Linked DNA regions of Coturnix japonica. The protein of the gene in region 1 purifies or fractionates together with the protein of each later gene. This does not show direct contact. Links are inferred from orthologs where the notes say so. Each region holds a gene or a part of one and is shown in the gene's direction. Other genes may lie near its edges.

Region 1 (7,725 bases):
GGTGGCATTATTTTAAGCACTGATTGACATTCATTTCCTTCTCATATTTTATCATAACAACTCTGTCTTCTTTTCCTTCTTTGTGGAGAAAAGACTAGTGAAGTCATAAAAAGAAGCTCCTTCTTACAGCCACTGTTTGGTACAAGTTTTAGTTCTTGTCAGGAATAGTTTTGCACACATTTAGTCTGCAGTCCAGGAATCTGCTCAGTACATTAGCTGGACTGGGAGAGAAATACCTCTATTCAACCAACACAGTTTGAAGAACACAGTTTCCCCACAGTTACCATATACCACCTAGTGATACAAAAGGAAACTGCAATTTCCATTTCATTAAATGAAAGATGATGATCACTGCAGCACATTTGTGATATTTTGCTTTCTTTCCATTAAAATAAAATGTAGGCATAATAGCTCTAGCTCTAATAGTTTTTCATCGAAGGTCTTGTGACTCCAGCTAGTTTACAAGAAGATGTAATTTCTGAAAATTTCTCAGCCTCTCCTCATAAGAACAATGCTCCAGGCCCCTCATCATCTTTGTAGCCCTCTCCTGGACTCCCTCTAGGAGATCCCTGTCCTTCTTGAAACAGGGGGCCCAAAACTGGACACAGTTCTTCAGATGTGGCCTCACCAGGGCAGAGCAGAATGAGAGGATCACCTCTGACAACCTGCTGGCCACACCCTTTTTAATGCACTCTGTAAAACACTGGCCTTCACGGCCACAAGGATGCACTACTTGCTCATGGCCAACCTGTTGTCCATAAGGACACCCAAGTTTTTCTCTGCAGAGCTCTTTTCCAGCAGGCCAGCCCTTAACCTGTGTTGATGTATGTGGTTATTCCTATGTGGTTATTCCTCCCCAGGTGTAGGACTGCACTTGCCCCTGTCGAACCCCATCAGGTTCCTCTCTGTCCAACTCTCCAGACTGTCCAGATCTCACTAAATGGCAGCACAGCCTTCTGGTGTGTCAGCGTCTCCTTCCTGCCACATATTGTCAAGAAACTTACTGATTTCTGTCAGGTCAGTGATGAAGATGTTGAAGTAAGTTTCAATTCTGGGAAACTGCAGTAAGGAAAATAAAGGATTTCAGTGCACTATATTACAAGGCAGTAGTTGTGGATTTTTGTTGTTTTTCTTCATTGTTTTTATTTCTCATTTATTTATTTATTTATTTATTTATTTATTTATTTCTTCAAAATGAAAACCAAAGTTGTAAGCCCAAGCCTAGGCTTTGGAGGGCTGCTGATCACCTTGCAGCCAGCCAGGCCTTGCACTTCACCATAACAACTGCACTTCTGGGGAGCTGATGCAGATGTATGTTTGTCTCAGTGACTGTCATTCTGGCCCACCATACTGCTGTGACAGTACTCACAGGACAATCTTGTGTCAAGTACTGTAGAAACAACATATTTAACTTTTAAAAAGGAAGATTTGAGATTTTCCATACCCCAGCCAGCCTTTGGTGATGGCAACAACATATCACTTTAATGAAAATGTTAGAGCCGCGTGGGGGGAGCTCTACAACAGCTGAGAGGATAGGAACACAGTGAGCTACAAGCAACAGGGTTTCATGGAACAAATGTGTCATCAAAACACTGTCAGGATATTTGCTTTTAATGTTTTCACTTTGGAACTCACTCCTCAGCCCCTCCTCTGGCTGCCCGCACAGAGGAACCAGGGGCACACTTGTCACTCTAGTGCCATATTGGTGGATTCACAACTTCTCATTCTGTTCAGAGGGGTGGCTGAAGTTGTAGGTGTGAGGAAAAGGGGAAACGATTCCATATCCTATCCCATTTATGCCCCACCCCTGGAGGTGCTCAAGGACAGGTTGGATGGGGCCATTGGACAGCCTGATCTGGTGGGTGGCAGCACTGCCCATGGCAGGGGGCTGTGATTGTGTGGGTTTTGAGGTCTCTTCCATCCCACGCCATTGTGTGATTCTGTGATTCACAAATCACCTACTCTTTTGCTTCTATTGTGACCTGGAGAAGCTTGGAGCTTCTCCAAAATCTATTTTGATACAGACTCAAGCCACAGCAGGAGACTGTTTTCTCCTATCTTCCCCCAGCTATGTCACAAGCAGGGGTTGAGCTCATAGTATACCTGCATGTCTCCAAGGGTTTACATAGTATCATACACATCTAAAGAAGCAGAAGAAAGGTCTTTATAAATAGAAGGACTGAAACATGATTAATAGCTCTCAGTTGCCAAAGCATCAGCAGAATATTAATAGTGGGGGTGCAGACTCTTGCCAGGGGAGGAGGTGTCTTCTCAGGACTAGTCTGGTGAATCTTTACTTTTCAAGCCGCTGTGCACATTAAAAATGTAGTGGCAAGTATCAGACATGAATTCCAGATTGACGACGCTGTAGGCAATGGTAACAAAGAGAAACAAAGGAGGGCACGGAGCTACGAAGGAAGCAGAGGCAGACAGAGTGGTGGTGCTTTCAGTTGCAATAGACAGGTACAGCTAATGCACGTTAAGGAAACCACTGCTGGACGTGGGGCGATGTGCTGCAGGAGCCAGCACAAAGATGCGAACACAACATGCATTTAGACTGAAATTAAAGCTGGCAATGAAGGCCGATGTTATTGCAGGTACCATTCTTCGGTTACCAGCTTCGGCACAACCTGATATTGCCTTTAACCATTTCTTCACCGAGCGTAAAATGAAACCATACGTTCACTACTGCATTTTCTCGGTCGAACTAAACTGTCAGACCCCGGAACACAGACGCGGGTTTATTTATTACTGAGAACACTTCATTCAGGGTGCTTTATTTTCCTGTAATCTCCGTTCGACGGAGACACCGAACCCCCAAAAGCGGATGGTGCGCTCCAGGCCCCGTCGCCATGGCGGCATCACGAGCGCGGGGTGTGGCGGCGCGGCACCATGGCGTCACCCGAGCGCGGCCCCCAGCGGCGGAGCCGGTTGTGGCTCCTCCCGATCCGCGGCGTCACGGTGGCGCGGCCTCCCCCGCTCTGCTCCGGCCGTGACGTCGGAGCGTCCCGCGGAGGCGGCGGCAGGTGGCGGCGGAGCGGCGCGAGCCGGCCCGGCCCGGCGGGTGAGTCCCGGCTTGGGTGGGCGGTCAGCGCTGACAGCGGCCGCCCCGGGATCGGGATCGGGGAGGGAGCCGAGGCCTGGCCGGGCGGTAGGCGCCGGCCCCAAACAAAAGGCCGGCGGGCGGAGCGGGCCTGCCGCGGCCCTGCGGCGGGCGAGGACCGGCGGGTGCCGCCCTCCTGTCCGCGCTGGAGCCCAAGTCCCGCGGCGTCGCTGTTCGCCATCGAGGGAGGAGGGAGGAGGCCGCGGCCCTGCGCGAAACACTGGGCCCGGCGGAGAGGGGAGGGCGGCGGGCCGGGTCTCGGCTGCTGTCCGCCCGCTGTCAGCGGCCGAGCCTCGCAGCCGGAGGGGGAGCGAGGGATGTCGGCGAGCACAACAGGAAGAGCGTGAGGAGCTGCGAGCGGTGCCGCCAGGTGCTTTTGTTTCCATGTGTCTGTGCTCGAGGTTTTTAATTGCATCCTTCGGGAGTGGTAAAGCGGGGCGGAAAAATAGGTCCTGCGCTTTGTGCTATATGTATTGTCACCGCTGACAAATGATTGCGAAATACTCGGTGAATACGAGGTTTTTCATGCTGTGGATGTCCGCTTTTTGCATGTGAAGAAACCCCAATTAAGGCGTCTTATTTCCGTCTTCGCATAACTTTTCTGCGACGTGAAGTAGAAATAGGGTAGAGCTTGTTGCTGGGAGCGCAGCGTGCAGGGGGTAATTAAAAGGGAGAATAGGGAGCGGAGCTCTAAAGTGTTCTGTCACATCGGTAGCGCTGAAGGTACAGCGCTGCGGCGTTGTTAGATGCTGCCTCTGGGCAGTGGGTTGCTTAAAAATAGGCCTTCAAGTGCCTCTGAAAACGCACAGCCAAAAGTGATCACTTGCGGTTGTACCGAAGGCACGGTAAAACCTGAATATTGATTTGGGTCACTTTGAGTAAATCTTAAATATTTTATGTTTGCGCAGAGTTGCTTTATAGCCCTGTGAGGTTTAACGCTGTGGCTTCTTTCCAAGCGAATCAAAGTACCGATTGTTTAAATGGCCGAGTGAAAGTTTTGTTCTTTTTGTTTCCTCTTAAATCCACCACATCCATGTAGATGTAATGGAATTGCCCAGAGAGATGAAGCTGCAGGACTTTTGAAGGCTGTCGAATAAGGTTTGGAAGGCTCTTGGTGTTGCTGGGGAAAAATCTTTCTTGGAATCGATGATTATTTTTTTTCCTCCTTCTGTGCATGTTAATTTATATGTCACAATGCTCCTGTACTTCATTTCTCTCTCAGAAGCAGCGATAGCTTCAGATGAGCCCATTTTTGCTTTGTTTTCCCACAGGAATTTTGTCAGTGCCCTCTTATTTGAGTGCGAAACTGAGGTTTTCCTCACTTAAGTCAAATGAAGTAGGACACGGGCTCCCAGTTATAGCACAGCAGAAGAAATTCAGTTTGAATAAATATGTAGCCATTCAGTATCAAAATGGTTGACTGTTCTGCACTTGACTGTTTTTCTGTAACTCGGACCCACACCAATATACAAGCTTCTTAAAATTAAAGTGTAGTAATGCTGTTTAAAGGAACGACAGGGAATTTGAAGCCTTATCACATCATTGATTTCTGAAAGTATTTTAAGAGAGAGAGAGGAGGCAGTGAGATTATTTACCTGCTGTGCTGTCCGATGCTTGCAGGCAGTTGCAAAAACACCAGACAGGTTCCATACCTTTAGCTAATACTGTACTTGTGACAGTAGGCCTCCAGATGGGAGATATATATATGCATATATATATATAATTATTATTTTTTCTCCCTTATGAAACAGAACACCACCAGCATAAAGCAACTACTACCATCCTTCCTTCCTTTACCAGCATTTGGCTCACGCTGTCCTATAGGGAAGAGTTCTGGGATCCTTTTTCCTCTGCTTCTACCTTCCCCCACCCTACTTCCTTAGTAACTGAGATATATGTTAGGGAGCCCGATGGTAACAGTCAAGTATTGAATCACAGAAGAACGTTTACCTTTGATCATTTCTTTTGTAGCGCTGCACCTGTTCAGTTTTCAGCCTCTGGCAGTCAACGAATGAGTTTGTGCTAACTGTTGTAAAGTGGTCTGTCTGGTGTTGCAGAACTTGTGCGATCACCTTTCATTTGAGGCAGGGTTTAAGTGATAGCCTTCAGCGAGTGAGAAGCTGGCTTTAGTTGAATTTACCAGTGGTGTTTTGTTTTCTTCTTTTCCTAAGAAGATAAACTTTTATTTACAAAAATTTCCTAGGGCCGTAAATAACAAACAGTGCACTTATATTTAGGATCTGGCTTCTTATGTTTCTGGAAATGTGTTTATTGTTGCTATTTTTCCTATCACTTGTGTCTCCAAAATAGTAGAAAAGTGAGAAAAATAATGCCCTGGCTATGATACGCTACTGGGAATTTGATAGGCAGCAGCTGACTGATCTGACAGGAGATGGTTTCACTTCATCTTGGCCAAGTGAAAGCTTGATGATTTTATCAAAGACCTCATGCCGTTTTTGGATGACGGGTGTCCTAGGAGGGACACTGCTTCAGCATCCTAACACGGTGTGGAAGAAGTTGGCACGAGGTTCCCTAGCAGGCGTCCTGACAGCCTGCCAAGGAAACAAGGGGTGGTTAACGCTGGCTGAGCCACAGTGTGGCACCAGTTGTTGCCCAGCTGGCGATGCCAAGTTTAAATTCCAATTCCCAGTGGGTCGGATTGTCCTTCATCTGTTGTGGGCTGAGTGTTTCAGAATCAGTGTGCAATAGTCCTCGTGGGCTTGGTGAGGAAGGGACACTCACAGGTTGCCACAGATAGCGTAATTCCTCATATGAGATGCTTTTCTAGCATAGGAAGTTAATTGCTAAGTGTAGAACATGGCTCTCAGCCACTTTACTTCAAAGGAGCAGGAGTCCAGGAAGGGGTGTGTGTGTGTGTAACCACAGATGTCTTTTATCCCGTTTAGTAAAATTTCTAGGACTGGCTTATTAAATAAATAACAATGTAATGAAGCACGGAGGTTACCTGAAGTCAGTATGTGAACTAGTTCTCTTTAATAGCTGTGCAGCAATTACAAAGTTGCTGTGCCATAATCCTATAATTATGCCCTAATTGGATTCTTCTAGGTATAATTACACACGTTAACTACACGCACACACTTTTTTTTCCCCAAGAATCTGTCAGAAATGACCCAACCTCCTTCTCCCATCTCCACATAACATTTGGTCTCACAATGCGCTACCTCTAATAGCGGATTGCAAGAGGTAATAGATAAAAGGCTTCAAGTGAAGCCCACAGATGTACCATAGAAAGCCAGCCCTAAGATGAAGGACTGAATGCCACATTCACAGCACTGAGCTTGTTGCAGCTGTCTCTTTGATCATAGCAAACGCCATATCTTGTCTGAGCGGATTAGTAGAGCCAGAATTTTAATGTGATTGCAGCTCTCCAGATTGATGTGCAAAGGAACGATGAGGGGAGAACCATCTTTCGAAAAGGTGCTAGGACAAGTGGATAGGCACGTTAATTTTTGCATTTTTTTCCTTAGGAACGGGCTCTAAAAATAGCTGCACTGAATGCCACGTGAAGCTCAGCTGTAAAGAAAATAATGTTTGAGTAATGTGTCTTAGAAGTCATCTGAACATTTCTTTCTGATGTTGCTAGTGATAAGCGTTCAGACGTTGGATAGACTGTGGCACAGAAGGCTGTAATACAAAGTGTTCCATGTTCTTTCAGGGAGTTGTTGCTCCTCCATTTCTTTGTAGTCTGTATGTTAGTCTGATATGTATTTATAAGCACTGTATTTATGCTGAAATGATCCTTTCCCTGAGCAAATATTATAAGGAAGGCCTTATTCAACAGACTGCTTGAATTGTGGAGAGTGCCTAGGGAAAGTCCCACGTTTACATGCACTGTTTTCTCCTCAAACAGCTGCCTGTTTAGAGACGAGATACAAGAGTAGATAGATGGTCCTTTGGGATAATGGGATATGAAGTGGTTTTTTGCTGCATATGGATTTGGGTAGCTGTTGTTACATTCTAAACTCCCAGAATGCAAGAAGTCGAATACTAGAGGCTAAATTTGCATTAACATAACGTATTCCTATCTTTGATCTCATTTCTCCTTCTGTGTACATAGTTACTTTGTGGAAATGAGGCATTGACTTAGTATAGCTAAAGATAATTGCCTTTTGTAATACTTTAGGAAAAGATAACTTGCATAAATTAAGGTGTCAAAATAATTGACGTCAAACTGTGGGCCAGAACTGATAATTGCAAAAAATAAGACAAAGCCTGATGATAACATTTCTGTACATTGAAAACAGCCCTTGTCAGGTAAATGATAGTAATTCCATTTCTCTAACAGGACCCTGGTGGTGTATTTTGCTTGCTCATACCTCTGTACAACACTGTTACAATGGTGATACTGTTTGCTTTGCAGTAGCACTCATTGAATCCGAAACACAGTAGTGTAGCATTGGGTAGGACAAGGCAGGAGTGAGCCAGCCTTTGGAAGGAGGACCTGCCATCCTAGCTGGAGGCATCTGAAGACAGGACATCTTAGTCCTGTGACGTGCTCCAGTAGAAATTACTGAGAAGAAGTAAGCTGCTGCTTTATGAAGGGACTTATATGTGCTAGCTCCTTGACAGACTGCCTGCTTGCAGTTAGAATTGGACCTGGA
Region 2 (7,190 bases), about 39 Mb from region 1:
CCAGTATCCTGGAAGCTTGAATGAGGTGCAGCTGCCTCCCATTGTTTTGCTTGTGTATTTGATCAGATAGCAGGCATTAATAACGGTAATTGTAGTTTCTTGCAGAAACAGTATCAGAATATCTGCTGTAGGTGAGATTCCGAAAGTGATCTTCAGTTATCTCTACTTGTGCTGCATCCAAATTACATCCAGTCAGCTGTTTGTAGTTTGGATGCAATGTAACCAAATTCATCTACTTCTGCATGTATGTCCTGTGCTCAGCAGAGACGCTCTGACTGGGGCTGCTCTGTCAGCCCTTTGCACAAGAGTGATGAACTCACATGTGTGCCGCAGGTGAATGATACTGAGGCACTGAGCAAGGCTGGGATGGAAAAATCTCTTCCTTCTGAAGGACAAAAATGGGAAGGTTTTGTGCAAGGATCCAAGCTTCTTCCATTGGTTATTGCTGGATGAGACGTGCAGTCCTGCCCTGCATGGAACTGCTGCTCAGTACAGTAGTAAAGCCTCATTCTGGAGGTGTTGTCAGGCAGTGCCCAATTAGCTACAGATATTCTGAAGCAGGGAGTAAGTATGTGTATCAGCAACAATGTGCAAGTGCTTTACAGCGTGAGGAAAGGGGTCCCGGTTCCTTCCTATATCAGGTGCTTGCTTTGTCCAGGGTTACTGTGACTGTCCTTATGTCTTTGTTTTCGTTCTTAAAAGAACATGAAAAATCGATATGGCAGCTGTTCTGTACAGGCAAAGCAACCTCTGTCCCCTTGGCTCTGAGAAACTGCCAGAAGTACAGGTTCCTGCTGGGACTTGGATGCTTTCCCTTGGTCTAGGGGCCTCTCAGCAGGGTGACTTCCTTCCAGTGGTTTGGCTTTCCTCCTTTTGGGGGCAAGTTGCTGCACAGCCATCAACTTTGGTTTGCTGGAGGCACCCTGGCTCTCAGCCTGCTGAGGAGAGACACTGCAGATGCACGGTGTTTGGGCACCCATCCTAAATACTTGCATGATGAAGCCCTCTGGCTTGGGGAGGTGACTCTGGAAAACTGAATGTTCTTCTTATGAGGTCTCGTCATTCAGAATCCTGCAAAAATCCTTGGCTTTTATTTGGCTTCCTCTTTTTTCCAGTCTTTCTTGAGGAAAGTTTTCTCTACCTTCTCCGTGCACAGCTGTAATCAGCTAATAACAGTATATTTCCTCACACAAAGCTGCACAGTAGTACATCGTGTCACCACCGTCAGCTTGGGAGTACTCTGAAGGCAGGTACTTCATCCCATCTGGTTTCAAAAGTCTGAGTCAGTTCTGGTCTGAAGAGGATCTAGCTGGGAAGTGTTTATTTTTCTTGTATTATCAAAGTGATTGCATTTGCTGTCCTAGAATTGTTGAGTTTGACCAAGGAGTGGAACACCTCTCCTATGAAGAAGGCTGGAGAAGCTTCGATTGTTTAGCCTGGAAAAGAGAAGACTCTGGGGAGATCTTGCTGTGGCCTTTCTGTACTTCAGGGGATCTTATAAGCAGTGGAAACTGACTTTTTATATGATCTGATAGCGATAGGACAAGGGGGGGATGACTTTAAACTTCAAGAGGGGTGATCTAGGTTGGATGTTAGTGGGGAATTCTTTACTCAAAGAGCATTGAGGCACTGAAACAGGTTGACCAGAGAGGGTGTGGGTTCCCCATTCCCGGTGGTGCTCAGTGCCAGGTTTGAAGGGGCCCTGGGCAGCCTGAGCTGGTGGCAGCCCTGCCCACATCTGGGGGTTGTAACTAGATTATCTTTAAGATCTGTTCCAACACAAGGCATTCTCTGGCGATTCTCGAGTAGTCATAACCTTCATTGCTATCCCTTCTTATGTGTGAATAGGTATATGTATGCTCGTGGGTCCTGAGTGTGCCTTTGGAGTAACTAGTACAGATGTGGCTGAATATGCAACTCCCGGTGCTGTAGCATTTTGTGTGCTGTTCTGCCAGATCATCGTTATCCTGTGGAAAACCTCTAAGTGTGCCTGATCTAATTGAGGCAGCTGTTGTTGTAGAGCCAAGTACGTGTCTGTGATGTAGCACTGAATTTTCAAAAGTGGTCTTGCCACTTACTCAAGACTCTGCAGATATCAGTAATCTGAGCTGGACAGGCATTTAAATAACTTGTTTTCAGTGTGTATGCTCTTTATTTTTTCTCTCTTAGAAAGAGAAAAGGAGAAGAGGTAGATGGAAATGTGGTTGCAAAAAAGAAATCGAGAAAAGAAAAAGAGAAAGAATCAAAGCAGGAAAAACAGCTGAAGGTGAGTTTTAGCTGATTAGGTCCTAAAAACTGCCTTGCTAGAAGAATGCAGTGTCAGACACTGAGTGAAGAGCTGTGGTACTTGGAGAGGAACTGTACCTGCTGCCTAGACAAAGCAGAGTTACAGTACAGCTGGTCCTCATGTCTTTGCACAGGAGGTGGCCTGATGCAGAGCCATTGCTGAAGGCGGTTCTCCCTGCTGTTGTCTCCTGAAATACAGGAAGGAACTTCTCTAGCACTTAGGCTTATTGGATTTAAATAGATTAGGCTAAGTGCCTTCTCTCTCTCAGAGAAGCTGGTTTCGTGATCCTTCCTATTTCATCTAACTATAGTGGCTGAAGCTCTGATACCAAGCACTGTTTCGGAAGAGCTTGGTGACCAATTAATAGCTCACAGTAAAAAAAATTAAGCAATGGCAAGTGTGGAATCAGATTACTGAGAAGTTGTATCTCTCTCACCCTATAAGAAGCAGCGTTCAGTTGTTGAATACAAAGTGTGGTAGATCGCAGCTTTTCTGCCTTTTAATTTTGGAATGCTGTGGGAGAAATTCCTAATGGAGCTGTAAGAATTTTATATTCATTAAAAGTTCAGCACAGGTACTTTCCAAGAAAGAAAATAATAAGCAGCTTTGCTAAAGGTAGCGCTCAATGAAGTTGTAAAGAAAATGACATTTCTTCTCTGTCTAACCTTTTCACCTTTTGTAGAAAGGCCTAAAAGAATGTGCAGGCTTATCTGAGCCATTTCAGGTTTCTGATCTAGCAGAAATGCTTCTTATCCTGAGTGTCTTAAAATAAGGACAATGTCTTCCAGCACTTGTGGTTGTTATTTTAATACAAAGCTTTAATGAGGTGATATCCCCACTGTTGGCAGTGTGAACTGGGTTGGTGATGTTTACAGAGGCTGTTGAGAATTCACTGAGAGTAGGAGTGTGGTGGAAAAACAGGTTCCCCTCCACCTAAAAGCCAACTGTTTTACTATAAAAACTTATATCTTTTTGTATGGGGTAGTGCTTTAAAAGTTGTTCCACAGTCTTTCTGCTCACGTATATAATGCAGAAGCAGAAGAATCCGTAGAGCCAACCTTTCCCTTGTGATCTTCTAGTGAGAGTACTTCCAAAAGCTATCACGTGCGTATATATTCATAGTAAAATCTGAAGCATATGGCTTTAAAGACCTGATCTAGTTATTTGGATAAAATGTGTGGTTCTTCCAGTGGTGAAGCTGCTGGCTCTTGGTGCTCTTCACCATGCTGTGGTTATGGCGGGATGTTCACAGTGTCTGTCTGTGAGTACCTAAGCTGACAGGTTTTGTCCACAGGAGCAGACAGAGCTGATCTGGGGCATCAAGGATGAGCTGAGGAAAGTCTGCTCCACAAATGACCTGAAAGAGCTGCTGATCGCCAACAAGCAGGAGGTGCCTTCAGGGGAGAATGCGGTAAGTTGGTCTGTAGTCACTTTGCGTGTGTGCTGGGTCTTCAGCATCCCAACTGATCTGTATTTTTGTCACTGACTGCAAAAGCAGATTGGCTGTGGTGCTTCACATTGCCTCCTCCTAACTGTTACATTAGGCTAAAGGAAGCAATAACTTTTCTAGTTATTTTCTGGCATGCTTTCTTAAAAAAGTCACATTTCAGACTGTGTAATTTGCAAAAGGTCTCTCTCTTTCACAGGCACGTGTCACATGAAGCGTTTGTGTTTATTAAGGCTGTAGGGAGCGTGGGATGAGATGTGGGAAGTGTCTAGACTCAAAATGGCCGAGAAAATCTCTAGGCAGGAAAACGGGGGCTTGTCTGAGCCTACGTTCCCACCTACGTACTTGTGCTCAGATACAGTAGCTCATCTCTTCCTTTCCCTCTCCAGCAATGCTGTTTGGTGATGCTCTGTGTGGGGGTTATGCTTTCCTGAATGCCCAGTTTTGTATTCTTCGTTGTTTTAGATCTTGGACCGAGTGGCAGATGGGATGGCGTTTGGAGCTCTGCTTCCCTGTGAGGAGTGCAAAGGGCAGTTTGTGTTCAAGAGCGATGCTTACTACTGTTCAGGGGACATTACTGCCTGGACTAAGTGTGTGGCTAAAACACAGACTCCCAACAGGAAAGACTGGGTAATCCCAAAGGTGGGTGTTAACTCTACATGTGATGATCTGAAGCACGCTTCTTAATTGATGCTTCCTGTTGTGAGGAGTTTAGATGAGCAGCAGTCAGCGCTGGATGCTGGAGAGCAAAGTGTGCTGCAGTGCTGAGTGGCAGGGGATCCTGTTGTAGCTTCATCTCTCTGGAGGCAGTTGATATAGAACAAAGTCATCCCTTTTCCCAGTAACAGTAAATTAAAAGAGATATTACTGATTTGATTTGAAACCAGTCACTTACTCTCCTATAGCTTAGGTTTCTGAGTTAATGAAGTGGATATTTGCCTATCTTTATATAAGTGTCTCGGAAATCCTTTGAGACCTGTAGTAAATGACACAATCTGGCCAGTGCTTAAGTTGGCTTTTAAATGTTACAGTAGTATTTGTTGTTTTAATACTGTGTGATTCTGTCTCACAGGAATTTCGTGAAATTCCGTATCTCAAAAAATTTAAGTGTAAGAAGCAGGACAGGATATTTCCTCCTGAGGCTGCAACTGTCAACTCTGCGCCGCCTCCATCTGCATCTGCTCCTTTGACAGAGACTCTCTCTGCACCCCAAGGTCAGTGGAGTTCAAGGTGGTGTGTGATGCCATTCCTATCCAAAAGAAGAGGCAGGACCTTTCATGCTGTCCAGTTATCAGATGAAGGGCAGCTAAGCAAAGTCGCTAGCAGACAGTTCTGAAGCAGACTTAAAAAATAAATCAAAATTAAACCAAAAAAAAGAAATGCAAGCAAATAATGTGCCCACACATGCATCTTTTCCAGCCTTCCATTCATTCTGTTTGCTGTGTGTGCTGCGCTTTGTCATCTCCCTTAGAGAACGGGAGCTTTCTCCCACTCATTAGTCAGACCTGCTTGGGCTCATCTCCCTGCAGGCTGTGCTGATTGTTGTGTGTGTGGGATGCTGTCTCTTATTATTTGTGCTTATTATTTGTGTGGTGGACTCTATGCTTGTTGCTGATGAGCTGTTTGTTTTTGAACCCCTAGACAAACCACTGACCAACATGAAGATCTTGACTCTTGGAAAGCTGTCCAAGAACAAGGAGGAAGTGAAGAATATTGTGGAGGAGTTGGGAGGAAAGATGACAACAACTGCTAACAAGGCTACCCTGTGCATCAGCACACAGAGTGAGTAGCCTTGGCAGTCACTGATAGCACTAGATGCATGTACTTGATTAGAGCGCCTTGTGGGTCAGTGTTTGGGTTAGGGAGTGTGTTTGCACATGCATGAGGTCGTGGAAAAGTAAAAGGAAATGTGAGTTGTTTCAGTTTTACTCACCTAGCAAAAATTAATCGTGGGTTGTGCCATAAAGGCTGGACCAGTCAAGTAAAAATTAAGTGTTCCTGTTCTAGTTCAGTCTGCAGCTTTGTACGTGGTAGAAATGCATCTCCTCAGAGTTTTTCACAGTCCTGAATTGTTGTCAGAAGTTGAGGCTGAAGTCTTGAAACCTCACTATTTTTTGTTTGTTTGTTTTCTTCCCTTTCCTGCCTCTGCAGAGGAGGTGGAGAAAATGAGCAAGAAGATGGAAGAAGTGAAAGATGCCAAAGTTCGTGTGGTCTCAGAGGAGTTTCTTAAGGATGTGAAATCTTCCAGCAAGAGCTTTCAGGAGCTTCTCTCTCTCCATGCCATTTCACCTTGGGGTGCAGAGGTGAAAACAGAGCACCAGGAGGTGGCGGTGGATGGGAAGTGCAGCAAGCCCCCAAATATGAAGAGTGCTGGGAAGATCAAAGAAGAACAAGGTGAAGAATGAAGTTGTTGTTTCTCCAGGGGCCTGTTTATTGCTCTGTGTGCACAAAGAAAATCTGGGTATAGTCCAGCCTCATCCTTTCCTAGAGTTCTCTCACTGTTTGGTTTTTTTCCCTCCCTCATAGTAAATTTTAAATAATGAAGATTTAGGTAAGATCAGGTTTTAGTGAGTATGAAGTTATCTCTTGACAGCTTCTGTCTCAGTGGCACTTTCAGAATCATAGAATCGTTAAGGTTGGAAAAGACCAGTAAGATCATGTAGTTCAACTGTCAGCTCATCACCACCATGCAGTAGTCTTCACAACTGCCACAGCAACCTTGCATTATTCATGCTGGAATGTGAATAAAACCATTAGATGTGCTCAACTTCTTTTTCCATAGCCCCCAAGCTTTTAGCTTGTGTTGTTCAGTTTTGTGTTATTGCCACACAAACAGTAGAAGGATCTGCGTGAGTACTGAATGTCCCACGTGCCCAGTGAAGTTTTAAAATCCCACTTCAATACAGCCACAAACGTGACCTTCTGTCATGTAGTTGGAAAAATGATATTGGGGTCAGGAGGAAGGAAGGTAGATGTTATCTGGGGAGATCTTGGTTTTCATTTCCTTGTGGGGGGAGGCAGCTGTGAATTAGCTGCTAAAGGCAGGTAGAAAGCCATTGAAGTGCTGGGGGTATTGTACTGGGAATCTGATTTGAAGTCTCATTAAGGTAATAATTATGCAAATTGGGAATTTATATCTTGAATCAAGTCAAACTGTATTGCCTTTGAAGGAAAAATAACTTCTTATCCCTGCAGGACCTAGCAAGTCTGAAAAGAAAATGAAGCTAACAGTTAAAGGTGGAGCAGCAGTAGATCCTGATTCTGGTAAGTGCAAACAATAGCACCAAAGTCTTCAGGATGCATGGCTTGTTTGCAGCATTCTTATTTTTATCTTTCTGTGGAAGTAAAAGGGTTTGCAGTCATTGATGTAAAAGTTAAGGGGGCTGTAAAAGGAAGCAGAATTCTTAAGATAGCTTTTCTCACTATCGAAAGAAGGCTATTGATTGACACTTTAAA
Region 3 (7,878 bases), on another chromosome or scaffold:
TTAATCCATATTACTCACAGTGACTGTTTCCCTCTTCGTATCAGGCTCCAACATGTACATTCTTTCACTCCACTCTATAAGCAACCCACACTCACCTCGTATCTATCAACTGCTTGATGATATCCGAAGTGCTTTTAGTCTCAGACCTGTCTTCTGTAACCTCTGCAGCAACCTCCGGGATAAACGTGGGATCTTCATGAATGTCAAGAGAACGCATGAGGGTGAAGTTGTTCAGCCTGCAAGAGAGAGAGAGTGCTAGAAGATGCAAGCTTCTCCATGACTAATATTTCCATGCTGTTCCAAGTGAATTTTACCCAAGAACATTTCGTTGTAGCAGTCTGCTCCCACAGCAGGGAGTTGCAACTGTTACAAAATAATCTTTCACACCTTTCTAAAGCCTCGCTGAAGGCAGCACCAAATCTACCCTGCTTGCTTAACTGAGCCTCCCACCTTCTGACATAAAGCCAGCCAGCCTCCATAAATCCAAGCTGGGAAAGATCTGGTGAAAGTTTTCCCATTCACTCTAATTAGATACATCATGCACAGGGAGAGGAGAGGAGAGGAGAGGAGAGGAGAGGAGAGGAGAGGAAGCCATACATTCGAGCACTAAGCCTGCTAGAACAGGCAACTCTTCAGACTTGATCCATGACCTGCCTCAACACAGTCTGTTTGCAATCAAATGTAACGGGGATTGGATCAGCACAGGTTCAGGGCCTGGAGTAAAACAATGAAATCCAAGCTCAATCATAGATGTTAAGAAACAATCTTCTGCATAACAGCTCACTTGTCTCTCAAATTATGAGACTTCCCTCTTTAAAAAGGTCATTTCAGGTAACTTTTAATAGGAATGGAATGGAAGAACCTTTAAAAACAATCTTGGAGGAGATAAAACTCCCCTCTTACCTTAGTAAGAGCGGCAGCAACAAGATCTGTCCAAAAGCCTAGAAGAAGATAAGCAGAAACATTGATTTACAATAGCTTTGACCTGAGCATCTTCCTCAGGGAAGGAACGCTAAATGCACTCACAATTGCTGCTGTTTCCGAGCACCCTGCAGAGCACGCACTTGTATTTCAGGCCACAACACTGACCTGAAATGCTTTCCCCACCCCATGCACATTTATAGAATCATAAAGACTGTATTTTCCTGCCTATCCTGCAGGAACATTCATTATTACTTCCCTGACTCAGCTCCAGAAAGCCTGCAGTTGCAGGCTGCAGTGCTGTTAAGAGGCATCTACATAGCTCCCACCAGCGCTCAGAGTTATGCAAACACTGGATAGGGCAGAAGCTTACTATCATTTCATTTATCTCTCTGTTAACATCTTTCCTGCAGTAAACTGAGTCAACTTGGAAAAGCATGAGATCTGTAGGCAGCAGGCAGCTGAAAGCAGTCTCTGGACACCACGGATCCCAGTGTAGCAATACCAGCAGTCCCAGGGAGATCAGCTTTGTTCCAGATTGCTGTAACAGCCCAAGAATCAGCTTCCAAAACAGGTGAAGGGAGTGCGGCTCCACCTCCCAGTGTGACTCTGAAGCAAGGCTCCCACTCCTACATACGTGAAGCGATATGTTGCTTCACACGTTGTGTAAGAACTGATTTCTATCTGATAAGGCATTGCTCCTAACCTACATGCAGTGCAACAGTAAAATCCAGAGTGAGACTGGGGATCATAAAATCATAAAGGCTGGAAAGACCAATAAGAATCTCCACTACAATCATCAGCTCATGCCTGTGACTGCTCTAGAACATGTCCCTGGATGTCACATCTACCCTTATCTTGAATGTTTCTCAAGGACAGCGACTCCTCCACCTCCCTGGGCAGCCCTTGCCAACATCTCACCACTCTTTCTGATAAGACATTACCTAATATCCAACCTGAACCTAATATCCAACCTGAACCAACCCCTGGCACAACCTGAGGCCACTTTCTGTCCTTCTATTGCTGTTACCTGTGAGAAGAGGCTTAAGCCTCTTCACTGCAGTTTCACTTCAGGTAGTTGTAGTGAACAATCAGGTCTCCCCTGAGCCTCCTCTTCTCCAGACTGAACAATCTTGTTTTCCTCAGCCATTCCCCATAAGACTTGGGCTCCAGATCCTTCACCAGCTTCGTTGCCTTTCTCTGAACACACTCTGTGGCCTTGATGTCTTTCTTGTAGCAAGGGGCCCAAAACTGAACACAACACTAAAGATGCCACCTCACCAGGGCTGAACATGGGGGATAATCACCTCCCTGCTCGTGCTGGATGCACTGTTTCTGATACCAACCAGGATGCCATTGGCCTTCTTCACCACCTGGGCACGCTGCTGGCTCACGTTCAGCCAAGCATCGACCAACCCCCCCAGGTCCTTTACCTCCACACAGCTTTACAGTTACTCTGTCCCAAGCCCGTAGCGTTGCCTGGGGTTGTGAAGCACAGGAGCCCATGCCATCATGGAATGGCATAGATTGGAAGGGACCTTAAAGGTCATTTAGTTATGTCTCCATCCAAATGGAATGGCATAGGTTGGAAGGGACCTTAAAGGTCATTTAGTTACGTCTCCATCCAAATGGGATGACAGGAAAGGAAACAAGCCCAGTGTCGCACACCAGACACAGCCATAAAGCAAAGAACTGAAAGCCGTTCCAGTCACTACACCCAAGCACAAAACCCCTCACAAGGTCGCTCCTGAGACAGGTATGCACCAAAACAAGGCTGTGTACGACCCCAAAGCAAGATGCAGAGCAGAGCAGACCCAAACCCAGCCTCTACATCTACAGAAGCCGACACCAGCAGCCCCCACAAAGGGAAGGAGACACCCACACGAGCGGCTGCAGCTGCACCTGCTCCAGTCAAACCCCAAAGCAATAGGAGCCTCCATATGTGAGTCCAATCTGAGGGGCTGAGCGATCCCAGTTCCTCTATGCCCATGGTGTCCCACACCACCCGGCTCAACCCGGCAGACATCTTGTGCCGTCTCCCGCTCACCGTGTTGGCCGTGTGCACGAAGAGCCGCAGCCAGAAGCCGCACAGCCGCGGTGCCCACTGCAGAGAGGAGGCGAGACGTGAGCGCCGGACCCGCTCCCCGCAGCCCCCCGCCCCGTCCACCCCACCCCGCTCTCACGGCGTCCCGAGGCGGCCGAGAGGCTGCAGCCCGGCCCGGCTCCCGGCGGTGTAACGTGGCGGAGGCGCTGCCCGTGTACCGCCGTACGCAGCACAGGTACAGGGCGGCGGCGGGCAGCAGCGCCCCGAGCAGCAGCAACGCCAGCTCCATCGCGTCGTTACCGGCCCAACACGGAACCGGCTCCGCGCTATGGCGGAGGGGCGGTGCTCGCCGTCAACCCGCCCCCGTGAGGCGGGACCGGAGGGTTTCCCGCTCGGTGAGCGCTGCCCGCCATGTCACGCTTCTTCCAAGCGCTGCGCCGTGCCGGTAGGGAGCGGGAGGGAGGGATGGGAGTGCAGCAGGACGACGTGGGCCAATGGGGGCTGACAGGTCAGTGCGACCGGGGACGGGAACCAGGCTGGTGGTGTGTAGCTGTGAGCACACCGACCCCGTGTGCTCCCCCACAGTGTATACGAGTGGCCACGGGCCTGTTCTACCTGTGTGCAGGGTCACCAACCAGCAGCCCAGGCTGCACAGAGCCACATCCAGCCTGGCCTTGAATGCCTCCAGGGATGGGGCATCCACAGCCTCCTTGGGCAACCTGTTCCAGTGTGTCACCACCCTCTGATTGAAAAACTTCTTCCTAATACCTAACCTAAACCTCCCCTAAATTCAGTCTGTCTGACAGGAATGCCTGATTTATCTCACCAGATTCCATACACAGGCCTTTGTAGTGACTTGAGAGCATTTTTGTGCCTACAAGTTCCTGAATATGGTTTGATATAACCAGCTTGCAGTGTTTCTGCGCTCTAGGAGGAAGCCTGGCTGCTTTTACTGTAAGGCAGCTGATTGGGAAGGTCAGAACTGTGCAGGACCTGCTTCTGGTGGCTCCTATCTGTAACAGTACATATAGAGTGTTGAATGGCTATGTGACATTAACAGATTGCTTTTATTCACAGGCATTAAGCTTCGTCCGTATCAATTAGATGGTGTAAACTGGCTGGTGCAATGCTACCAAGTCCAGCATGGCTGTATCCTGGGCGACGAGATGGGTCTTGGGAAGACTTGTCAGGTGTGTCATCTTCTGAAATATGACTTTTGCCTTAACTGTGGCTCAGGGTTCCCACAGCATGCAAAAAGCACCCTAAGCATGTAAGCAGCCACATCCTGAAGTCCTTATTCATAAGAGTGAGCTCTTTTGGTTCATTAATCACATAAAACCCCTGCGAGGTTCTGAACAACGCTTAGTAGCTTATAAATAACATTAACTAGTTAACACAGGGGGTATGGAGCCAATGGTGTCATTCTGACACCTGAAGTAGGATGATTTTTGAGTCTGTCAACATGTGGATTAAAGTTGAGTCCATGTAGATACTCTTCAGGGTTTTTTTAGTTTTATTTTTTAAATGGGATCCGTTTTTGTTGGAGTGAATGACTGTGGTTTGGTTTCAGACAACAGGTCTTAAATAACAAACTGGCAGCTTTAGAAAGTAGATCTCTGGGACTGTTGGAGGGATGTCTTTGGAAGAGGGTTAGAGATGCTGAGGTAATGTTTTAGGACGTCAGCTTTTATGTCACTGATGATGGATCTCCTTTGGTGTTCTCTCAGCTCTGATTTGCGTTGGAGAACTTGTGGGAAATCAGCTATAAACCTCAAGGGGACAGTTTATGCAAGTTCAGGAATTTCCTTGTTATTAAAAAATACTTTTTTATTTCCTTGCCTTCTAGACTATTTCACTACTTCTTTATTTGACAAAAAAACTAGCGAACAAAGAGAGATCCCTGATACTTTGTCCTCTGTCTGTTCTGAGCAACTGGAAGGAGGAGCTGGAGAGGTGAGTTTAAACAGCTGTTGTACTCGTTATAGCCTTGAATGGTGAGTTTCAAAGACTCTCTTCAGATATGCTCAGTCTAGCAATTTTCTTCCTTTCAAAAGGAAATAAAACATAAAGAGGGAAGCTACCAAACAACAAATTGATGTGTACGCTGCTTGCAGTTAATCCATAGCCTATACAGTGCTGTGATACCCATGCGTTCATCCAACTTATATCCAATACACTGGATGACTGTCAGTAGATATACCCTCACTAGCTCTGTGTTATTTTCTAACCCCCCATGCTCAGCCTCTCTTAGGCAAATTCTGCTGAAGACAGCCAGGATTCTGTATGATAAAAGGTAAGACCCCAAGCTGAATAGTGTGTTTCTTGGCATGCTCACACATGCATCTAAAATACCTTACATCCATGCATGCAACGCATATTCACTGGGGTACAGCATCTGATGGTACGTTTGCTGTGCCCAGAATCTGTATGTTTTTAGGCTTGAGCCCAGACATTGCTTTTAAGAGGAGCAGCTGAAAGTTGTAGATTAGAACAGATGTATTTCTGTGTGGTTGTTGAGCAACGCTGTGTCAGAAACAAAAATCATTGAGGTTAGATTTTGAAATGATCTGGCCTGATTTGGATAAACAAGCAGCTGTAATAGCTGGAAAAAGTACAGTCTAGTATGACTTAATATGGTGAATTTCAGTAGTGAACAGCTATGTCAGAGGAACAATAGGCAGGCATTAGGAGTGGGATTAAGTGAGGAAGAACTTTATGGTTCCATCTCTTCTTCCACGGAACTGATTTTATCTGCTTTCACTATGGGGGCTAGATTTTTGGAGCCCTGTCTTCATCTGTACTTTAGCTACCTCTGGACCAACTCTTTGCTCCCAGCTGGAGAATCACTTGCTTCTCACGAGCTTTTTAAGTTAAGAATCACAGATGGACCATTAGATTGTTTATCCATCATCTGCATCATGCTTTGAGACCTAGGATAAGCCGGTTAGTATGGCATTTGTCCAAACCAGAGCCAGCAGCTGAGGTGCTAAGCTGGGATGCAAGTTAATTCCTGCTTGAGTTAGATTCAAGAGCTGAGATCCAGCCACATTTCCCAGGAGAATAAGTTGCTGTCTTTCTTTTGCTGTCTTCCTCTTGACGACAGGTTTGCTCCAGGTCTCTCTTTTGTCACGTACATCGGCAACAAGGAGGAACGATACAAACTGCAGCAGAACGTGAAAGAGCAACCTCACTTCCACGTGCTCTTAACAACATATGAGGTACACGTTGTCTTCGTTGCTTCAAAAGAGAACTCAGGTTTTTCCTTGCCTTTTCCATTCCTCTGTACATGACGCTTTACCACTTGCCCTCTGTACTCTAACCTCGCCCAGTGATTTTCTACTCTGCAGCCCACATCACCTGCCCATCTAAGTTGCTGCAGCTTTTGTGTCCTGAAGATAATCTAATTTGACCCTAGCTTTACCACGCAGCTGTATCACACCTTGAATAAACAAATCAAAATCAGAAACATCTTTAACTGATGCTACCTGGTATTTTCATTGCCTTTCTGTGCTGCCTTACAGATCGTCTGCGTTTAATGGAAAATCACACATATATGCGTGATGCTTATTAAGATTCTATTAATTGGTCACTGCAGGAACACTTTGAAAGAGCTTGCCTATGTTTGTTCCTCTTTTGCCTGCCTTCCTCAGCCAAAACCAGACTGTAAAATGATGAGGTTTCTATTAAAAATCAATGGAATTTGGGGCTGAATCCAGTCAGTACCTTACAGAGAACCAGCAGGGTTGCTTCCTTTATCACTGCTTTGGGTTCTGCCTGGCCTGGTGCTTAGTTATATGGAGTGGAAAAAAGCCTTTATCTTTCTCTTATGACTCATTTCCACTCAGGTGTTACTTTGTATCAGTGCTTTGATTTCATTTTAACAGCCTCTTAACAGACGCATCAATTTGAAATTAAATGAGGAAGCTTCTCACAGCTTCTTTTTTCCCTGCTTGATCTCCTCTTCCCTTTGCCCCTTTGCTCTCCCTCTCAAGTATTTTACCATTTTCTTCATCTAGGAGCCATGACCTGTGCTGATCGCTCTGAACCTGCATCTTTTTCCACTATGCACAAGCCAGGAGTGCAGTGATAAGCCTTGTACTGAATGTGATAAATGGAGGTGCTTATACTAAAGCAATGCTGGCAAAACAATCAACCATATGGAGACTTAACTTGTATTTTTCTCGTCTCTGCTATTCTGATGATAAAATTCTGTGCTTCTTAAGCTTATCAATTGACCCCGTTTCTCTTCCTGCTTGAATCCGAAGTTGGGCAGATAGCGTGAGCACTTTAGGACATTAGCAGGTCAGATTAATCCACTGAAGCACATATTTGCTTAGAATCAAGAAGACTGTAATACAATACTGAAGGTGCATGGTGTTTCTTACAGGGTGTGAATGATACGAACAAACATTGCAGACTTGTCTGAAAATGAATTCTCTGAGGTTTTACTACTGATGCTTTGCCAGAGAAGCATTAAAATGAAGAGTTGCTAAAGCTTGTGGTTACGTTATCTGTTATGTTACTTTCCTTGGTAACTGACTTCACTCCAACCCTGCGCTATTTCACTATAGTTTGCAATTAGCGAGCAAGATACTCTCTTTTGAACTATGTGTTAAGTTGTAAGTAACAGTTTGTTTTCTTTCACTGCAGATCTGTATGAAAGACGCAGCGTTTCTCAAATGGTGAGTGCAGGTTCTTCTTATTATTATTTAAATTTAATTCTTCAAGTCTGTCAGAGATTTCTGAAGTGTGTGTTTATCTAGATGCAAGATTCTCCATGTTTCACAAGAGCCAAATGTGCTCTTCAATTATGATCAGAGTCCTTTACCCAACTTTCAGTGAAGAGCCCTTAATGTCCCTTAGGATATATGTGAAAAGAGCCCTGGGGAAAATATAGATCCACATGATTCCAG
Region 4 (7,190 bases), on another chromosome or scaffold:
CTTCCTCACAAAGTAAGCACCTGCAGATTGTCTGTTCTTGTATCCTATAAACATGAGTGGGTTTCACAGGTTCCTCTGGGCAGGGAGGATACCTTCTGTTGTCTGCTTTTTTTTCTTTAATTCCTACAAGTATTCAAATCTAAAAAACCAATGCTTAGTAGAACTGTAATCAGTTTGTTTCGGTGTCTTTTAAGACCTTGAAGCTACAGTTAACCTACCTGCTCTCGAGTCCTCTTTATATGTTGCAGTTGGTTTGGCTTGATGCCGGTTGAGTGACTTTGTTATATTTGTTCAAGTCTCTTTTTCTATTTATAGATGATGTTAAGGTCTGTGCTGCAGTAGAAAATATGCACACGCATCTCTCAGACGCTTCTGGAGAGAGCATCTGCACTGCAGTGAGTCCATCTCTTCAGTCAGACCCCTTTCTGTGTTCTATTCCCTCAAGGTAGCTCACTTTAAGGACTTCATTCCCCAGGCTTTCCCTGGTGGGCACAGTATGATCCTGGATTCAGAAGTTCTTCTAATTGATAATAAAACTGGCAAACCACTTCCTTTTGGATCTCTTGGTGTACATAAGGTAAAATCTATATATACGTATATATAAAACAAGTCCTTTGTGGCCAGAGGCTGTTATTCTGCTGTCTTAAACACACTGGCATGCGGTCAGTTATCACAGAATAATGTAAGAGAGCTGGTGCTTCCCAGAGAATGTGGGGGGAAATCTAAGATCCCTGGGAAGGCTGCTATTAAAGAAAAGGTACCCTTATAATACAGTAGATTTGATATTAACTTGATCAGAAGCAGGATAGGGAGAAAACTGCAGCTTATGGTAAGTGTTTAAAAGAAGAAAGGTCTTGGAAGAATTTGCAGTTCTGTGATTGCTTATAGCTGCCTATAGAAAAGCATAGCAGATCAGGAGACCAGACTGATGCAGACATGGATGTAATCCATAAGAGTGTTGTGCTTTGACACATTTGTTCTAAATGTGTGTTCTAAGAATATTTCAGTCTTACAGAAGTAGCATCTTTTTGTGTGTTGTTTTTAAAACTCCCTGCTGCTGTGAGATTTTTCAGTTCATCTTGATTGTTTTGCAGAAAGCTGCTTTCCAAGATGCCAACGTCTGCTTGTTTGTGTTTGACTGCATCTATTTCAACGACGTCAGCCTGATGGACAGGTATGTATGTGTGGCACGGTGTGAGAGCAGCCTGCTAAGCTGCTGAGCATGGACTTACTGGGTTGCAGTACCTCTGCAGAGGGAGCAGCTCGCTTTGGCTGCAAGGCTTGGCTGTTTACTCCTGTAAGATTAAGAGAGCATGGGGGAATCTTTGGTGCTCCATCCTGCTCTGCTGTTCCAAAATATCAGAGTAAATGCATTTCAGCTAAACTCAGTGGGTTTCAGTGCTCCACTCATGTCACTGAAGCTAAGTATTCTTATCATAGATTTGTTATATAGCTTCTTCCTGAAGGAGCGTTAAAAGAATTTACTACCTGCTCTGAAACTATGGGATAAGTCATTTAACTGTTTAAATATACCTTCTGAAAATTCACGTGCCTGCTGCTCCACGCTGAGGTTGCTTTATGTCCTTAGTATTCTGTGCTCTGTCCTAGGCCTCTGCGTGAGCGTCGTAAATTTCTACATGATAACATGGTTGAAATCCCCAACCGGATCCTTTTCTCAGAGATGAAGCACGTCACAGTGAGTTGACCACATCTGCTGTTTAATTTAACACTGCACTGTAAGCACTTCCATGGTCCTTTACTATGTGACCCTTTGTATAATTAAGGCTGCTGATCTGGCAGTTCCTGTCAAAATAGGCTGTTTCTGGTCTGCGTGCAGAACTTCTTGGGCTGATGTCTCAGCTACAGCTGCTTTAGTATGTTTTTAATGTGCATATCTTTTTTGGCTTTCTTAATAAGGTTGCAACTTTGTTGTTCGGAGCAGCTAAAGCCTGTCGTAGTTTCCTCTACTGTGCTGCATAGAGAAGACTAAACAATGACTGAAGAGAGCAGAGCTTCCAGTCTCCAGACTGGCCACTCCAAGCTCTTTATTTTTGTAGCACAGATACATTCTGAGTGCTTAAAGCTGCATTTTAGACAGCAATAAGCCCAATTTTCTCTTTGATCATTAGGCACAAGCCTTATACTCTACTGCTCCAAGTGGAGAGATTGAGCAATACAGCCATTTGACAGGCTTGAGCTTAGCACAGTGCCTTTCCTTTTCAGAAAGCTTCAGATCTAGCAGATATGATCACCCGAGTCATCCGTGAGGGACTGGAAGGACTGGTGTTGAAAGATATAAAGGTAAGTTTGCATCTCATCTTTACTGGTGGATGTTGGGATTTAGGGGGAAGAACAGACCTCTCTACTTAATACTGAACTACTTAATGTGAGTTTAACTTCAGCCCTATTCTGCTTTAAGAGGTTTCTGATGGTGCCTGGAGGGGATGTACAGTAACTTTACCTGATTCTCAGTTACTGTAGTTTTTCTCTGGGATTTTAGTATTGTTCTTCTCTTGCCTGTTTTCTGCCATCTGGACAGAGCTCTACTTTTGTGAGCTTCATGATGCGTCTTTGCACCATCAATTCAATTTATATGCACCTGTAGTGTGACACAGTCCAGCAGCAGATCACTGAGCTGGTAACCAGAACTGCATTTTAATCACAGCTCTGCTGCTTCTCCCTGGTGTGATACTCAGCTGAGCAGTCTTGAAACACCTTTAGATTCCTGTAGATGCTGATATCCAATCCAGGTTACTTCCTGTACATCTGAGCACTGCAGAGCTCTGTTATTCATAAAGCAAGGGCTGTTTGAGGAGATGGCTGCCTACAAAGTCATCTCCTTTCTCACTGGGAGGTTTTTGCTTTGTTTTGCACAGGGTAATTATGAACCAGGAAAGCGGCACTGGCTGAAAGTGAAAAAGGACTACCTGAATGAGGGTGCAATGGCTGACACAGCTGACTTGGTGGTGCTGGGAGCTTTCTATGGGAAAGGCAGTAAAGGTAAGTTTCTGGTGTTAACCTAAGTCAGATTGGTTGGTTCAGGAAAATCCTAAGCTTTTTCCTCTTCCAGGTTTTCTGTAGCATTTGTTTTCCTGCTGCAATAAGAGTGGCTCTCATAGTGACTGTCTGTTGCAGCCCATCACATCTGAGGCCACTGCAGGCTGCCTGGCTTCACTGTGGCATGGCTGGCAAAGAAAAAACATTAAGTCTTGGGTTGGCCTTTCATACAGTAACAAGGCTCTCTGTTCAGCTTTGTGTGTGAACTGATGCTGAGAAACCATCTCGAACCGATGGCCTTAAATTTCCCACATGGAGATGGGTTTGGGTTCATTACTTTGATTTTTGAAATGCTGTAGGTTGTCCTGTAGAAGATATGAACTGCTGTGCTCTCCCTTCCCCAAGGTGGGATGATGTCCATCTTCCTCATGGGCTGCTATGACCCCAAGAGCGAGAAGTGGTGCACTGTGACCAAGTGTGCTGGTGGCCACGACGACGCCACCTTGGCCCGTCTGCAAACAGAGCTGGACATGGTGAAGATCAGCAAGGTGAGATGGGCTATGGCAGGGAGGCAGAGGAATGCTCAGCACAGGACTTGGTAAAAACATCTTCCTGCTGAGCTGTGTGTTGGTTAAATGCAGAATTCAAGAGCTTTGCCAGGAGCAAAGAGTGGCTCACTTTGAGTTAAATCAGGTAAATTCTCTATAAACCTGTATGTGAGAACTGAGGGGTAGGTGTGGCCATCTCCTAACGATGAGCCACTGCTTGAGATTTGTACTCAAAACACTGAGCAGGAATTATGGCACCATCTGGTTCCTGCTGAGGCAGTTTTAGTGGGAGAAGCAGAACTTTCTTGGCATGTTGCAGTTGGTGAAGACAGCCACTGGATGGGGCTGTGGTGAGAAATGGCAGTCAGGATGTGGTTTTGCTGCTAGAAGTGCTGAACTTCGAGACTTGCATCAAAGTGCAAAATCTGGTTTTTCAAGACCTAGCATAAAAACAGCTGAATGTTAATATTAACTTGAGATCCTGAAGGCCATTGGCATCCAGGTTATAGTCTTAAAAATGTGTGATTTCATATGAATTACAATTGGAGGGACATAGTGGTGTTCTGTATGGCATGACAGTGAGTAGCAGCTGTGTTGCAGGTAATCTTTTGTGACTCTAGAGGAGAAATTGCTGCAGATCAGTGCACTGCAAGTTTCAGCAAGTTTAATCTGTACAAAGGCAATTAAATACATATTTGCCAATCTACTATGCCATTATCTTTCAGCAGCCTCCTTTGTTGGACTCGATTCCTGTATGATCACAGGTGTTATCTTCTTTTTGTGCTCTTAATAGGATCCCAGTAAAATCCCAAGCTGGCTGAAAATTAACAAAATCTACTACCCAGACTTCATTGTCCCAGATCCAAAGGTAAGTGTTGTCATGAAATGTTTCCCAGCCCAATACAGCAACCTACTTCTTATATAATTGTACAGATTATACCTGTTACGAAATTAGTATTCATGCTTGGGAGAGGAATTTAAGCATGAGTTTTTATCTCTGAATCCTGCAGGTGCATTTGAGACTAAGAGCTTCATGAGGCAATCGTTCCTGCAGCGCCTCTAGGAAATGTTTTTGTACATTAAATCCCTCCCAGAAGTGAACTTACTGAAAAGAAGCAGTTAGAGTACAGTTAAGTCAGTTGAAGTACAATTGTTACCCAGAAGTTGCTACTCTTGTTATGCTAAATTTAACAGGGTGCTTTGTGCCATTTATGCGTGATAGGATACGAGGAAATTGGCAATATGTATTAATGGAAGATCTCAATTCACTGGAATGCAAAATAAATAGAAGCCTCCTGGTCACCTTAATTAAGAAAGCATATACATGGAACTTTGTTGTGCTGGGAGCAGGAGCAAGATGTTGTAGAAGTAGAGGAACTCAGATGCATTAAGTTTAGTTCATGAGAGTACACAAGAATGTGACATAGCTTCCTTCCTCGCTGCTGTGTTTAGAAAGCCCCAGTGTGGGAGATTACAGGGGCTGAGTTCTCCAAAGCTGAAGCCCACACTGCAGATGGGATCTCCATTCGCTTCCCTCGCTGCACTCGCATTCGAGATGACAAGGACTGGAAGGCAGCCACCAACCTCCCGCAGCTGAAGGTGAGTTAACATGGCTTGCTTCTCTGCAGCGTGCTTGCAAATAAGTTCTGACAGCAGCCTATATTTAAAAGATAAATTCTGATAGGGTATGTGCTGAGGACATCTGCTGACTAGCACCTCCAGTGGCGTGTTTTGTTCCGTTTATTCTAGGCTCAAGTTGTTTTCTGGACTATTTTGATGTGAATCTTATTTTTTTCCATGGTTCTCTTTCTCCTTGAGTCTTGAGAGCTGTTGTTGTGTGCTTCTGGGGAAGGTTTTAGCTGGCAGTTAGTTCTATCAGCTCTTGTAACTGCCTTCATGGTGAGCAATTTCCTTCCTGAAGGAGCTGACCTTAATTCTCTTAAATGTTTATGGTCATTCGGTTTCTCATTAATTGCTGAGATTGCAGGAGGCATCTGGGAAGTGACTAAGGGTAGCCTGGCCTGGTTCCATAGCACAGGGGCCAAATGGCAGTCTGCCCTGCTCCAGGGCTGCACTGCCCCATGCAGCTTCTATGCCTCCTTCAGTGATAGAAACCAGTTGGCCTGGTGCCACCCCAAGCAGTAAGTCAGCTGCCCATGTGCTCTGTTCTCAGTCTAGTCATTGTCATTTGGGCTGTCTTCGCACTGCCTACAGGGACACTGACAGCAGATGTAAATGCTTGTCATGCCATCGAAGAAAGGATTCAGTCTCTCTGCAGGAATGTTTCTGGCTCACTGTGCAGGTAGGGGGGAAGAGAGGTAAAATACTCTCGGACAGAATGTTGGATGTTGGCCATTTTTCAGTCCAGAGAGCCAGGCTCTGAGGAGTTAGTCTGACTTGCTTACTGGTAGATGATATTAATGTGTGGCTTCTCTTAATGTTGAGCTGCTGGGTAGAGAGCAGAGAGCTTGAACATAGCTGACAGAAAAATGGTGACAAAGAGGTGCAGGAAGAAAAAAACGTAAGAGCAAATGCTTCATGGGGTGGGGATAGAAAGTGAGAGGAGCACATGAATTACTGCTTATGTCCGCTTATGAGAGGTTTCACTTTGGCTAAAGGGAATGTTTTGTTTCTGCTCGGACAGGAGCTGTACCAACTCAGCAAAGAAAAGGCTGATTTCAGTGTTGTTGCTGGGGAGGAGGAGGAGTCCACAGCTGGCAGCAGTGGAGAGAATGAGGGAAATTCCAGGTCTTCCACACCACACAAGATGACTAAAACTCCTCCTAAGTCCCCTGCAAAAGCCATGAAACCAGAAGGTAAGGCCTCTCCCCATGGAGGGGAACCTCAGGATGTGTTCTTCACCTTCTACGCGCTGCTTTTATAAAGATGTTTTAGTTAATGGGCAGAGCTGGTTTCAACCCTTGGTTTGGCTTGTGTTGGTGTCTCAGTTATAGACACCACCAAAATTAAACATGATGTAATCTCTGTGGGACTTGCAGTTCCTTTTTATCTTTAATCACAGTCCTTAACAGACTGTGTAAGACTGGTCTGAGCAGCAAACCTGCTGCTCCTGTTCCTGCAGCTACATGCCCTTCAGTTAGATACTTTTGGCCATGAACCAGCATTTAATTTTATTTGGCTTAAGTTCATACATACAGTGCAAGGCACCTGGAGGGGATTTCCAGATAGTAGACTGCAAAGCCATGTGCTGCAGAATAACCTGTAGCAGATTTCTGAGCAATCCCAGAAATATGGTGTGGTGACAGCAAGGAGGAAGGCTGAGCTATGGAGTCAGCTGGAGAGAAAGAAGGGCAGGAAGATGCCCTGATGAATTCTACCATTAGTGGTAGAAAGCAGCATCTTACCAGTTATGTTCTAATGCACAGATTTTCCAGAACAGATTGGGAAAGCCTTTTACCTTTCCATATCCTTGCTTTTCTTTGCCTCCTTTTAATATACAGCTGGGCTGTAGACAGGAACAGTGAGATACATCCTTGTTTTTAGGCACCAAAGCAGTCGCTGAATCCCCTCAAAAGGCAGAGGAGAAACGAGGAGAGAAGCGAAAAGCATCTGAGATAGAAGACAATGGAAAGAAGGTACGGACAGTTGGGCAGCAACCACTCAGGTGGGAGTAAGTGGAGACAT

What was found.
Region 2: the proteins of RNF146 (region 1) and PARP1 purify together in Homo sapiens (affinity purification with mass spectrometry; 4 studies listed by BioGRID and IntAct, counting the BioPlex papers as one, with this or other methods). This does not show direct contact. The link is inferred for Coturnix japonica from reciprocal best matches to the Homo sapiens genes RNF146 and PARP1.
Region 3: the proteins of RNF146 (region 1) and CHD1L purify together in Homo sapiens (co-immunoprecipitation; 3 studies listed by BioGRID and IntAct, counting the BioPlex papers as one, with this or other methods). This does not show direct contact. The link is inferred for Coturnix japonica from reciprocal best matches to the Homo sapiens genes RNF146 and CHD1L.
Region 4: the proteins of RNF146 (region 1) and LIG3 purify together in Homo sapiens (co-immunoprecipitation; 3 studies listed by BioGRID and IntAct, counting the BioPlex papers as one, with this or other methods). This does not show direct contact. The link is inferred for Coturnix japonica from reciprocal best matches to the Homo sapiens genes RNF146 and LIG3.

What each region holds. Positions count from the first base shown.
Region 1 is NC_029518.1:53,755,219-53,762,943, reverse strand, and holds the start of RNF146 (E3 ubiquitin-protein ligase RNF146), read left to right. Parts: upstream 1-2,943; 5' UTR 2,944-3,064; intron 3,065-3,145; exon of another isoform or gene 3,146-3,473; intron 3,474-7,725. UniProt on the Homo sapiens protein: E3 ubiquitin-protein ligase that specifically binds poly-ADP-ribosylated (PARsylated) proteins and mediates their ubiquitination and subsequent degradation. May regulate many important biological processes, such as cell survival and DNA damage response.
Region 2 is NC_029518.1:14,820,247-14,827,436, forward strand, and holds part of PARP1 (poly [ADP-ribose] polymerase 1), read left to right. Parts: intron 1-2,169; coding exon 2,170-2,266; intron 2,267-3,581; coding exon 3,582-3,698; intron 3,699-4,199; coding exon 4,200-4,376; intron 4,377-4,806; coding exon 4,807-4,948; intron 4,949-5,375; coding exon 5,376-5,516; intron 5,517-5,885; coding exon 5,886-6,128; intron 6,129-6,929; coding exon 6,930-6,998; intron 6,999-7,190. UniProt on the Homo sapiens protein: Poly-ADP-ribosyltransferase that mediates poly-ADP-ribosylation of proteins and plays a key role in DNA repair.
Region 3 is NC_029516.1:72,144,910-72,152,787, reverse strand, and holds the start of CHD1L (chromodomain-helicase-DNA-binding protein 1-like), read left to right. Parts: upstream 1-3,360; 5' UTR 3,361-3,376; coding exon 3,377-3,473; intron 3,474-4,042; coding exon 4,043-4,155; intron 4,156-4,809; exon of another isoform or gene 4,810-4,811; coding exon 4,812-4,918; intron 4,919-5,206; exon of another isoform or gene 5,207-5,258; intron 5,259-6,068; coding exon 6,069-6,183; intron 6,184-7,615; coding exon 7,616-7,647; intron 7,648-7,878. Other genes in the region: fatty acid amide hydrolase-like, read right to left, coding at 96-236, 904-941, 2,969-3,025, 3,105-3,254. UniProt on the Homo sapiens protein: ATP-dependent chromatin remodeler that mediates chromatin-remodeling following DNA damage.
Region 4 is NC_029534.1:3,393,498-3,400,687, reverse strand, and holds part of LIG3 (DNA ligase 3), read left to right. Parts: coding exon 1-12; intron 13-445; coding exon 446-577; intron 578-1,094; coding exon 1,095-1,174; intron 1,175-1,608; coding exon 1,609-1,696; intron 1,697-2,223; coding exon 2,224-2,301; intron 2,302-2,876; coding exon 2,877-3,000; intron 3,001-3,402; coding exon 3,403-3,545; intron 3,546-4,338; coding exon 4,339-4,413; intron 4,414-4,997; coding exon 4,998-5,144; intron 5,145-6,189; coding exon 6,190-6,361; intron 6,362-7,049; coding exon 7,050-7,141; coding exon of another isoform or gene 7,142-7,176; intron 7,177-7,190. UniProt on the Homo sapiens protein: Isoform 3 functions as a heterodimer with DNA-repair protein XRCC1 in the nucleus and can correct defective DNA strand-break repair and sister chromatid exchange following treatment with ionizing radiation and alkylating agents.